Macaca fascicularis: one gene and its partners. The protein of the gene in region 3 interacts with the protein of the main gene of each other region in a pairwise test. Links are inferred from orthologs where the notes say so. Each region holds a gene or a part of one and is shown on either strand. Other genes may lie near its edges.

Evidence for each region.
Region 1: the proteins of ZMYND19 (region 3) and LZTS2 interact in binary tests that used the Homo sapiens proteins (3 or more experiments, as listed by UniProt). The two-hybrid records come from large-scale screens. The link is inferred for Macaca fascicularis from reciprocal best matches to the Homo sapiens genes ZMYND19 and LZTS2.
Region 2: the proteins of ZMYND19 (region 3) and SAXO1 interact in binary tests that used the Homo sapiens proteins (3 or more experiments, as listed by UniProt). The two-hybrid records come from large-scale screens. The link is inferred for Macaca fascicularis from reciprocal best matches to the Homo sapiens genes ZMYND19 and SAXO1.

The regions. Positions count from the first base shown.
Region 1 is NC_088383.1:109,955,135-109,958,878, forward strand, and holds the start of LZTS2 (leucine zipper putative tumor suppressor 2), read left to right. Parts: upstream 1-1,325; 5' UTR 1,326-1,521; intron 1,522-1,917; exon of another isoform or gene 1,918-1,948; 5' UTR 1,949-2,211; intron 2,212-2,855; exon of another isoform or gene 2,856-3,258; intron 3,259-3,744. UniProt on the Homo sapiens protein: Negative regulator of katanin-mediated microtubule severing and release from the centrosome. Required for central spindle formation and the completion of cytokinesis.
Region 2 is NC_088389.1:79,841,786-79,845,529, reverse strand, and holds the start of SAXO1 (stabilizer of axonemal microtubules 1), read right to left. Parts: upstream 2,793-3,744; 5' UTR 2,106-2,792; coding exon 2,059-2,105; intron 1-2,058. UniProt on the Homo sapiens protein: May play a role in the regulation of cilium length. Stabilizes microtubules at low temperature.
Region 3 is NC_088389.1:1,732,362-1,736,005, forward strand, and holds the end of ZMYND19 (zinc finger MYND domain-containing protein 19), read left to right. Parts: intron 1-2,265; coding exon 2,266-2,446; intron 2,447-2,733; coding exon 2,734-2,877; 3' UTR 2,878-3,337; downstream 3,338-3,644. UniProt on the Homo sapiens protein: May be involved as a regulatory molecule in GPR24/MCH-R1 signaling.

The DNA of each region.
Region 1 (3,744 bases), on a different chromosome or scaffold from region 3:
ACTCCATACCTGCCTTAAACACCCACATCATGATCGGGCCCAGCCTGTTCAGATCCCTGGATTCTAGAAAGCAGTGGGGGGTCCCTAGGGCCTGTGCAGATTCCCTGGGATAGGACTGGTCTGCCTACACCCAACTGGATGTTAAGAATCTCCCTGACTCACAGGTTCAGTGGATTGGGAAGAAAAAAAAAAATTCAAAAACATTTCCCCGAGAACTCAGGAAAGGCCTGGCTAAGCCAGGTCCAGTTGGATCTACAGCCTTGTCCTCTAACTGATAGTGTATGTCACACTTGGCTATGAGGGGGCAGCTTTGGTCCTCCAGCAGCTTCCTCTCTGCTGTGGATGGGTTTAATAATAAACAGCTCGGCCGGGTGTGGTGGCTCACACCTGTAATCCCAGCACTTTTGGAGGCCGAGGTGGGTGGATCACAAGGTCAGGAGTTCGAGACCAGCCTGGCCAATATGGTGAAACCCCGTCTCTACTAAAAATACAAAAATTAGCCGGGCGTGGTGGCACATGCCTCTAGTCCCAGCTGCTCTGGAGGCTGAGGCAGGAGAATTACTTGAACCTTGGAAGCTGAAGTTGCAATGAGCCAAGATCGCGCCCGCTGCATTCCAGCCAGGGCGACACAGCGGGACTCCGTCTCAAAAAACAACAACTCACCGAGGTCTCCAGCAGCCCATACGGCCCAGATACCTAAAGACCTTCCCACATGCTGCCTTGAGTGCCATGGCGGGAGGGAGCCCCTGGGGCCTCCCTGCAATACAGGCCAACTTCCTGTTTGTGCCTGTGGGTAGGATTTTATGAGTCTAAGAGAAGCCCAGTCATGCCCCGTGGGGGGTCAGAACCGGCAGGCCTGCTCACCTGGGCAGACACCTACTCTAGGGAGGGGGCTGTGCTGGTTCTGCTTGGGCAGCCCCACGCTGAGGTGTGTGCATGGTGGGGGCAGGTGGGAGCTGCTCTGGTGAAACTCGAGCCTCCTTTGTCTGATTCCCAGGGGTTTTCCCTATATTTGGGGATTGGGTCAAGAGTGGACCGGGTTGGGCTCCCAACGGAGCAGGGAGGGTGGCAGAGTCAAGTTCTATAGGGCAGCTTAGTTTAAGGCAGCCAGGTAGTCGAATTATCGGTCACGAGATGCTCGCCCCCTTCCCCACGTCAAAAACCAAATCCAGTAAACTGTGAAGGCGAAGGCCAGAGGGGCAGCCTCGGCCACCGTCGAGTCCCTGTGGGGCAGGGAACTGGGTAGGCTGTTGGTGGAGTGCGGGACAGACCACTCCCCTCCCTGGGTGGGGGGCGCGGCCTGAGCCGCCCCGCCCCGCCCCACCAGGTCAGGCCAGGCGGGCGCCCGGAGCCGGGAGCCGGGAGCCCGGAGCCGGGAGCCGGGAGCCCGGAACCCGGAGCCCGGAGTTCGGAGCCCAGAGTTCGGAGCGGGCTAGGGAGGCGGCGTTGTCGCGGCGAGGAGGTGGGCGCGCTGGAGCAGGAGCGGGGCCAGAGCTGGAGCCGAGGCGCAGGTGGCGCTGGGTGAGTGGTGGGGCCGCGGAGGTGCAGGAACTCCTGCTTCCCGCACATCCCCGCTCCTGAACGAACTTTCCGCTTCTGGGGAAGCTAGGGGTGGAGTGAGGAGGGGGGTCCGCACTTGGTGGGTCGCCCGCGAAGAGTCCAAACAGGGAAGCGACACGAAAACGCACGCCGACGGGCCCCAAACACGCGTGCACAGACCCACGCCCGCACTTGGGACACGCGAACACACATGCAGTCGGAAAGGACGCGCCCAGTTTTGTACCCTTGCACTCCCAGGGACAGCGCCAATCAGCCCGCGCGGACCCACAGCGGGCAGGGCACTCTGCGGTCGCGCATTGGGTGCGGGAAAGGGGCAGCCCCGTGACCGCCGACGGGGGCGGGCCGGGTGGGACGCACCCAGAGGTTCCTGCTTCCTGGCCGCCCACAGGTGAAGACGAAGACGTAAACAGGCGCCGGGCACGTGACAGCTCCGCACACCAGTGGCCTGTGCCCCCAACCCCACCACGAGGCCCGTTTGCTTGGTTCCAGGCCGGACGGCGTTCCATTCTCCTCCTGGAGCCGGGATAAGCCCTCTCCCAGGAACCGGAGCACAGCGCCCCCTGGAGCCGGGGCGGAGCAGGAGGGCCGGGCTGCTGGGCAGGGCTGGGGTTAACCTGGGCTCCTGTACGTCCTTCCCCCAGCACATTCTTGGTATCTGCATCCCCGAAGGTTTCGGAGACAGGCCCTTGATGGCAGTGGACAGCTGCCCCCGCCTATTCCCGCCAGCCCAGAGAGCAGCTGCCTGAGCGCCTGCGGGTCCCCTTCCTACCCTCACCTCCACTCCTTGCCGGAGTAGGAGTCTCCTCCCCCGCAGAAAATGCATGAGTGTAAACGCCCCCTCAATACCAGAGTGGGCCTAGACCCCTAGAAAAAGGAGGACGAGCCCCTGCCCCCAGGGAATGAGGGAGTGGGCAGTAGCTCGATGCCTTCTTCCCGCCCCACCCCCTACCCCTACACACACGCTGAGCCCAGCTGCCGCCTGAGCTGGGCAGGCTGCCAGAAAGGGGAGGAGGTTCTCGGTGCCCCAGGAGGCAGGGATCAGGGCAAGGCCAGAGGAGGGGGCTCTGTTGGGGAGAGGGTCTCAGTCTGTTCTTGTGAGGCTGAGGGTCTGGGGTGAGTCTGAGGGTGGCTGGGCTGTGTTTCCCTTTCCAGGGAAAAAGAAAAACAACCCTGTCCATGGAGCTAAAAATAGAGCTGAGAGCCGGCCAGGGCTGTGGCCTGGAAGGGGGGGATGCTCCTTCCTGGGGCCCGGGCGAGCTCTGGCAGGCCTTGGCCCTGCGGGGGAGGGGGTGGTTAGGGGAGAAAGGCTGTCTTTGCCCAGGGATGCAGGCATCAGCTGACCTGACCGGGTCACCGAGACCCCTAGGGGAAAGGCTGTGCGGTAGAATATTTGCGAAGCATGGCTGTAAGAAGTTGTCTGTGTGAGTGACTGTGAATAGAGGCTGTCAATGCGTGAAAGATGGTTAGGAGACTAAGTGCATTTGAGACAGTGACTGGGTGCGAAGGACTGCGGATTGTTGTGGAAGCCTGTGCCCAACAGGCCTGTGACACCGTGTCTGTGTGTGAGTTGGACTGGAAGATTATGGAAAGAAGGAACGCGGACCCACGTGACAGCTGAGACTGCTTGTGGCTGCGTGGTGAGGCTGCATGTGGGAAAGGTCGCGTGGGTGTTAGGGAGACTGTATTGTGTGCGAGAAGGTGAGAATATTTGCGACCTTGAGAAAGTGGAATGTTGTCTGCCGTGCGGCTCCTGTAGGTTTGGGCTGTAGGCTTGGACCGGTTTGCCCCAGTGATTGTTGGGGAGCCAGGGGCCGCTTCTCTCCGAGAAATGACCTCTGTCTTAGCAAGCGGTCCCGAGGGGAGGCTGGGGAGCACGGGGCCGCGCCAGAGGCCGGCCTGGGTTCGCGGGGAAAAGGGCACCGTGCCGGGGAGTGGGGCAGGGCCCGCGTGGTGGGGGGCGGCTGGGTGTGTTCTTCGAGCGGGCCGCCAGGTGGCGCCGCCTCTGCGAAGCCCAGGTTGCCGCCTCCAACCCGCCCCTGGTGGGGCAGGTGCGGACCCAGCCTCGGCCTCCGACTCGCGCTAGGGCGCGGGGCCCCGGCACCGGAGAGTGGGGGACGGCCGGTCGTCGACCTCTCTCGCTTGGGACTCTGAGGCTGAGAGCGTGTCAAGGAAGCTTCGCTTGGA
Region 2 (3,744 bases), about 78 Mb from region 3:
TACCAGAAGAATGTTTGAAGGTTGCTGAAGCTGAGATTAATGAGACAGATGGATCACAAAGCACTTGAGAAGGTGACAATGAAACTGGAATTCAGAAGACAGGAGAGACTACTGGCTGAAACCATAAAGTGGAGGAGAAAATACAGGATGAGGGAAGAAGAAAAGGAGAAAAGACACAAGAACAGACCCTGCTTCCAGTGGAAAGTGACTCCTTGGCAGGGACACAATGAGAACAGAGTCAGAGAAGGAACACCCAAATGAGTTATACCCCTACTGCAGGGGCAGGAGGGAGACTTCTCACTACATATGCTCTGCATCTCTTAATGAGCATTCTGCCTTCCTACCTAGACTGCACGCTGTGCAAAGATGGAGATTATGTCTTATACATTTCAATCCTGATGCCTAGAACAATGCAGGACACAGGAAGGTAATGTAAAGGGTCCCAGGAGAAAGAAGGCCTTAGAGGCAGGGCATAGTGGCTCATGCCTGTAATCCCAGCACTTTGGGAGGCCAAGGTAGGCAGATCACCCAAGGTCAGGAGTTCAAAACCAGCCTGGACAATATGGTTGAAACCCTGTCTCTACTAAAAATACGAAAATTAGCCAGGCATGGTGGCGTGTGCCTGTAATCCCATCTACTCAGGAGGCTGAGGCAGGAGAATCACTTGAACCCTGAGGCGTAGGTTGCAGTGAAGCGAGATGGCACCACTGCACTCCAGCCTGGGCAACAGAGCGGGACACTGTCTCCAAAATGAATAAAAGAAAGAAGGCCTTAGAAGAAAAGGTTTTGCTGGGTAACATGTAGTCCTAGACTATACACTGCTCCGGCCCCACTTAACAAAGCTCAAAAGCAAGACCCACATTTGTACATGTTCTAGTTCAGTGAGTCCCAGTCCTAGCAAATGGTCAGAATCACCTTTAGACAGTTGGCAGGACCCACCCTGAGATTATAAATTCAACGGCCTGAGCAACTGATAGTTTTCAAACTCCCTGTGTGATTCTAATCAGCAGCCAGAGTTGGGAACCATGCATTGATGCCAGAGATGTAGAAGGTTGCTGATCCAGTTTGTAGAGTGCCCTTTAATTATCCACACTACTGATACCATTTTTATCTGCATGTGTCATATTTGCCCTTTTTTCAGATTTCAGGACACTAACATATTACGCACAGTCCATGTACCAGGACTCACGTACATGATCTTAACTCTTATCATAGTCCTATGAGGTAGGTATTGTTGGTACAGATGAGGCACCTGTGACCGAGAGTTTATTTACCAATCCAAGATCCCACAATTAATGACAGCCCAGGAGAACTGACCTCAGAACCCTCTTGCCTGTTGCTCCTCTGCTGCCCACTCCCTGCCCCAGCCAAGCAGAAACCCAGCTGTCCTGGGAAGCAGGTAGAAGGAACATCTAAGAGATCATGTGAGAGACAGCAGACCAGTCAGCCCGTGGGACTCTGACTAAAGCCCATGATTTCCCCCAGGACCACCTTTACTGTGCTTCCACCCAGACACGCTCCTTAAAGGTGAGAAGAGAGACCTGGCCAGGCCAGGCGACTGTGAAAGTAATGTTTTCATTATTCTCATTCAACTCTACACAATGTGGAAACAAGTTTTACTAATACCTTATACTTCTTTGACAAAGTAACAATCTCTCTGAATGAGAAATTCAGTTACACTACAGGAATTCTCCTCCCATCCTATCACTTTCCCAAAAGGAGCAAGACTGGTCCCACTGGGCCAGGTGTTCTCCCTCCTTGGCTGACACTTTCTGGGCTTCAGGGAAGGGAGTGCAGGCTGCCCGGCCACGCCCATTTCAGCCTTCCTGCAGTTCTGAAGTGAAGCGGCACAGAAGGCCCAAAAACAGACACATTTGCCAGAACTGATGTTGCATCTGCGGGCACAATGCTAGTTGACAAAATTGTGGCCTAAAAAACGTGACAAGTGAACGAACCCACCGTGATGCCGCCTGATGAAGCAGCTGGGGGAGGCTTCCCTTCCTCGGGAGTCTGAAAGCCCAGGCTCCCCCAGCCTTGCCCTGAGCACAGCCACCTTACCCGCAGGAGCACAGTTCACAGATGCACTTTGTCTTCATAGCGGCCATCCCGAGGCCCTGACGTCCCCTCAGAGCATCGCCAGCCGCAGCCGACTCCTGGACCCCAACCACCTGGCTTGGGGCACGCCCAGGCTCGAGGGCCTTGGCAGGTGTTCTGTTTACTCGAAGGAAAATTTAAGTGGCCCTTTCGCAATGTCCTGTCGTCTGTTGCCCTCCTGGAGCTGGCCTAGCGCGAGGGAGCAGCCAGGGAGACCTCACCCTGCATACCACCGCCCCAGCCTCCACAGCCCAGACTCAGGCACCTGGAGCTGCTGACTGGGCCCCAGGAAGCTGCGGGGTCCGTGCCCAGGTAGCCTCTGTGATGTCGCCAGGACCAGGAGGGGCACACCTCAGGTGACAATTACATCACAAGAGCCGTTTGTGAGGTCGGGAAGCTCCCAGCAACTCACTGGCAGGCCCAGGACGGGGGTTCCCCAGTGGACCTTGGAGAAACCTGGAAAAGGTGGAAGTCACTAGAAAGCTTCTGGTGCAGTAAATGGTCACACGTGCAGAAAAGATGAAAACTCCCTCACCATCACTTTGGGTGGCATTTGCTGTCTCTAGGATCCATGGTGCCCCCTCTTAGGGGAATACAGCCTTTGACTTCCAAAAGGCTTGCCTTGAATAGGGTTTCCAGATCTTCCTGTGGAAACCTAAGCCTTTGGCTTCAGATGTCTGTTAGAATTGCTCTCACCCACAGACTGGAGAACACAGCGGTTTAAGAGAGCCCAGGCCTTCTCTGCTCAGGTGGGTTCTCAATCACTTCTCCAGGTGCTGGTAATGATGCCTTGAAGCAGACGCGCTCAAATTTTAGTGGGCATCAGGACCACCTGGCTTGATGAAAACCAGATTGCCAGACCCCACCCCCATAGTTTCTGATTCACTGTTTCTAGGGTAGGCCAAGGACTTCTATTTCTTACAAGCTCTCAAGTAATGCTGGTTCTGCTGGGCCAGGGACCACACTTTAAGAACCACAGCTTTTGAGATTCCTTTACACCCCCTGAAATAGTGTTTCTTCCGCTTACCTGGTCCCGAGAGCACACCCCCAACCAGAAGGCTCCCCTACATCAAAACCTCTAGTCCAGGAATCTAGCTTCAACAAGAAGCCAGGTGATTCTGGTCATGAAGCAAGTTCCAAAGACACTGCTCTGGCCAGTTGTTTGGACTTAAACCAGTTTGGCTTCCTGCTTATGGGAAATGGGAACTTAAAGTATTGACAATCTTTGTGCTTGTTTTTCTTTCCTATGCTTCCTAACTCTTTCCATTCATTTTAGTGAATGAGCCAGTCAGAGGCATCTTCGACTGCAAGACACTTAATATTCAGAGGGTTTTTTGTTTTTTTTTTTTTTTTTTGGTTTTTAGGTTTTTTTCTTCAATATTAGGCTCTAGAATAGAGGTCAGCAAACTATTGTCTGCAGGTTGGCCACCTGACTCTATCTGGCCATTGAGCTAAGAATGGTTTTCATATTTTTTAATGGTTGAAAAAATTAAAATAATACTATTACATGACATATGAAACTTACCTAAAATTCAAATTTCAGTGTCTATAAATAAAGTTTTGAATTTTTTCAAAAAATTTGTGTAAACATTCCTGATTTTGCCTCTCGGCCCACAAAAGCTAAAATATTCACTATCTGACTTTTTACAG
Region 3 (3,644 bases):
CCGGCTAGTTTTTTGCATTTTTTAGTAGAGATGGGGTTTCACCATGTTAGCCAGGATGGTCTCGATCTCCTGACCTCGTGATGCGCCCGTCTTGGCCTCCCAAAGTGCTGGGATTACAGGCTTGAGCCACCGCGCCCGGCCTTTTTTTTTTTTTTTTTTTGAGACGGAGTTTGGCTCTGTCGCCCAGGCTGGAGTGCAGTGGCGCGATCTTGGCTCGCTGCAGCTTCTGCCTGCCTGGTTCAAGCAGTTCTGCCTCAGCCTTCCTAGTAGCTGGGACTACAGGTGCCCGCCACCACGCCTGGCTAACGTTTGTATTTTTAGTAGAGACAGGATTTCGGCATGTTGGCCAGGCTGTCTTGAACTCTTGACCTCAGATGATCCGCCTGCCTCAGCCTCCCACAGTGCTGGGATTACAGGTGTGAGCCACCACGCCTGGCCCCGCCTCAGCCTTTTGAGTAGCTGAGATAACGGGTGTGCACCACCATGCCCGGTCCCTGCTCTAATATTAGAGTTTTGACCCTTCTCTCATACTGCTTGTGAGTGACGCCAATCCTCTTATGATTGTTGGATGGGATTTTTTTTTCTTTCGGGGATTATGTTAGCCGGAACTTTGGGTTGCAAGAAACAGAAACAGCTCAATTTGGCTGAAACAAAATAGGGTACGTTTTGGTATCCTGACTGAAATGTGGAGAGCCAGGGATGCTGCTGCCTCCAGCTCTGCGCCCCCACTCCCGGCTCCTCTCCGAGAGGCGGCATGCGCACTACCCAGCACCTGTGGAGTGAAGCAGGCACCCTGTTCTGGTGGTGTCTGGGGAAGCCCTGGGATGAACTGTAGTTAGCATGCTTTGCATCACTTCTCTACATGAAGTCAGAGTTGTGTCATCCACGGGAAGGGGAAGGAGTGCGTGGCAGGCAAAGCAGCATCCGTAGCATCTCCTCCTGCGTTGTCCCACATTGATACATGCTCAGTGTTGATGCTGGGATGGGCCCTCCCCGACTCCACAAGTTCCCCCACTGCCCACCACTCCACCAGGCGATGTCATCTGTCCCTGCCGTGGTACAGGTCATTTCAGCTGGTTGTCAATAAGACTCAGGGTCCGGCCAGCCTGTGACTGAATGTTACCTTGAATCCTCTCAGCACCCTTCCTAGTCAGGAGGGGAGATAACTGCCGTTAAGAATAGCTGCTTGGAAAGGGGGTGTTGAGCTGATGCTCCTGGTCAGCCCATTCTCCGTGGGCACGGCAGGATGAGTTGCGCTGAGGCTGCGGCCTTATACAACCCCCTGCTGCAGGAGGTGGCCTGCGGTGGCTCAGGACTGATCAGGCTCGGCCATCTTTGGTTTGCCAACATGGGGTTTTAGAACCCAGCAGGTATTGGGCCTCTTGTGCTGGGTCAGCACCCCAGGCCACAAGCAGAAGTCAGCTAGCCAGTGTGGGCCTGACGTCCTGAATGGCTGGGTGCTGTGCGTCCTTCTGGATCCCAGTTTGTGGCCTCCCTGTGGTCTGGCTCTTTGTGATGGGGTCACCCTGTCTTTGTCAGGCCTGGGCTGTTGCTCTCCTTTCCTGGCACTGTGTCAGCTCAGCCCCCACAAAAGGGGCCTGTTGGCAAAGGGGTGTTTTCCTTTTCTGTCTTCAGAAGCCAGCAGTGTCTGAAACTTGCCTCTGTCTGGTGGGACCTCACTAACATCTTCCCGTGTCCTGATCCTTCCACCTTTTAACCAAGTCTCCTCAGGGTCTGGCCTCAGAGAACAGGGTTGTTGGGGTGGTTTATGCAGCTCCTTTACTCTGTGATGCAGCAGGGCTGGGGCTGCCCACACTTGCCTCTGAGCAGCCAGTGCTCGCTCCAGGGCCTGTTCTGTACAACACGTGTACAGATGAACGTAGGGCAGCTCCCGGCATGGAAGGGGAGGTGGACCGACGGGGCAGTAATGGGCACCTCTGCAGGTCAAGGGCAAGGAGAGGGGCTGCCTTGCTTTGTGCAGGGGCCTGACCTGGGCACTGCCTCCTGCCTACTGTGTGCCTATCAGTCCCAGGTGCTGGGGACAGGGTGACAGATGAGGCGGTGCTTATGGGTGAGTGGGAAGACGAGACACAATATTTACTGTCAGGTGGTGAAAAGCACATGCAGCAGGGATGCGCCAGAGGAGACTGGAATTCGGGCCGGGTGTCCTGGGCAGGATGGCACTCTCTGGACTCATCACATCACCCGCCGTGTGCTGGCCCCATTTGGCCAGAGTGCACTGAAGTGTCTGCTTCTTTCTTTAAGGGAGCAAAGCTTGTATTGGCTTGCAATTCAGCAGCTGCCTACAGACCCTATAGAAGAACAGTTTCCTGTCCTAAATGTGACCCGGTACTATAATGCCAACGGGGATGTAGTGGAAGAGGAGGAGAATTCTTGCACCTACTACGAGTGCCACTACCCTCCCTGCACGGTGATTGAGAAGCAGGTGGGTGTGCTGCAGTGCGGCCTGGTCCTTGGCACCTCTACCCTGTAGCCCAGCCTTGGTTTGGGGTCTTGCCCTCCTACCGCAGGGCCCCATTCCCCGGAGACCACTTGGGCTTTTCCACCAGGGTGGTCTCCCTTTGCCCTTGTGCTGGCCTGACCAGGGCCCAGGCCCTCCAGCCTTGGTACATGGTGTTTTGCTGGGTCCGTCAGATTGTCCGTGCGATGCAGTCTTTGCCCCACACTGCATCCCAGGCATGACGGTGAAGCCACAAGTGTTCTGTATTTCAGCTCCGGGAGTTCAACATCTGTGGGCGCTGCCAGGTGGCCCGGTACTGTGGCTCCCAGTGCCAGCAGAAGGACTGGCCAGCCCACAAGAAGCACTGTCGGGAGAGGAAGCGTCCCTTCCAGCATGAGCTTGAGCCAGAGCGATGACGGGCGGGAGAGCCGCACACACTCGCAGCCCCCGGGCTCTACCCTGGGCACAGCAGAGACAGACTGGTGGTTGAACCTGGAGGTGCCGAAAAAGCCAGCTGCGGGCCCAGGACAACCGCTGTGAGACTCCCGATGTCACAGGCAGTCTGTGTGGTTATAGCGCCCCTCAGTGTTCATCTCCAGCAGAGACAACGAAGGAGGCTCCCACCAGGACGGTTCTCATTATTTATATGTTAATATGTTTGTAAACTCATGTACAGTTTTTTTTGGGGGGAGGCAATGGGAAGGGTAGAAATTACAAATAGAATCATTTGCTGTAATCCTCGAATGGCAAACGGTCAGGCCACGTGTCTAAAAACTGTCCTGTAGCTGAAGCTTCTCCCCTGGGCCACGGGAGCCCCATGGAGCGCGGCCTGCACAGGAGTTGTGTCCACAAAGGCAAAGTAAAGGGGTGGAATCATCCGGCGTCTCGGACATTCTCTGCTCTGCCTCCCTCTTGTGCTGCTGAGGGTGAGGTCATCTTGAGTGGAGCCGAATCCCTGTGAGGGCAGGAGGACGTGCCCTTGCTCCTGGTGGGCAGGAGCAGGTGAACTCAAAACTTCCTGAGTCCAGCAGTGAGCGTGAGTGAGACTCTGTCCTTGTCTTGTGGCAGGACTGGTGCAGGTGCTAAGTCAGCTGCCCACTGGTTCATTGGGAGTGGGATGCTCTAGCCCCTGACATCGGTTAGTTCTTGCCTGATTTATGTGTGAAGTGGCTGGGAGCTCAGC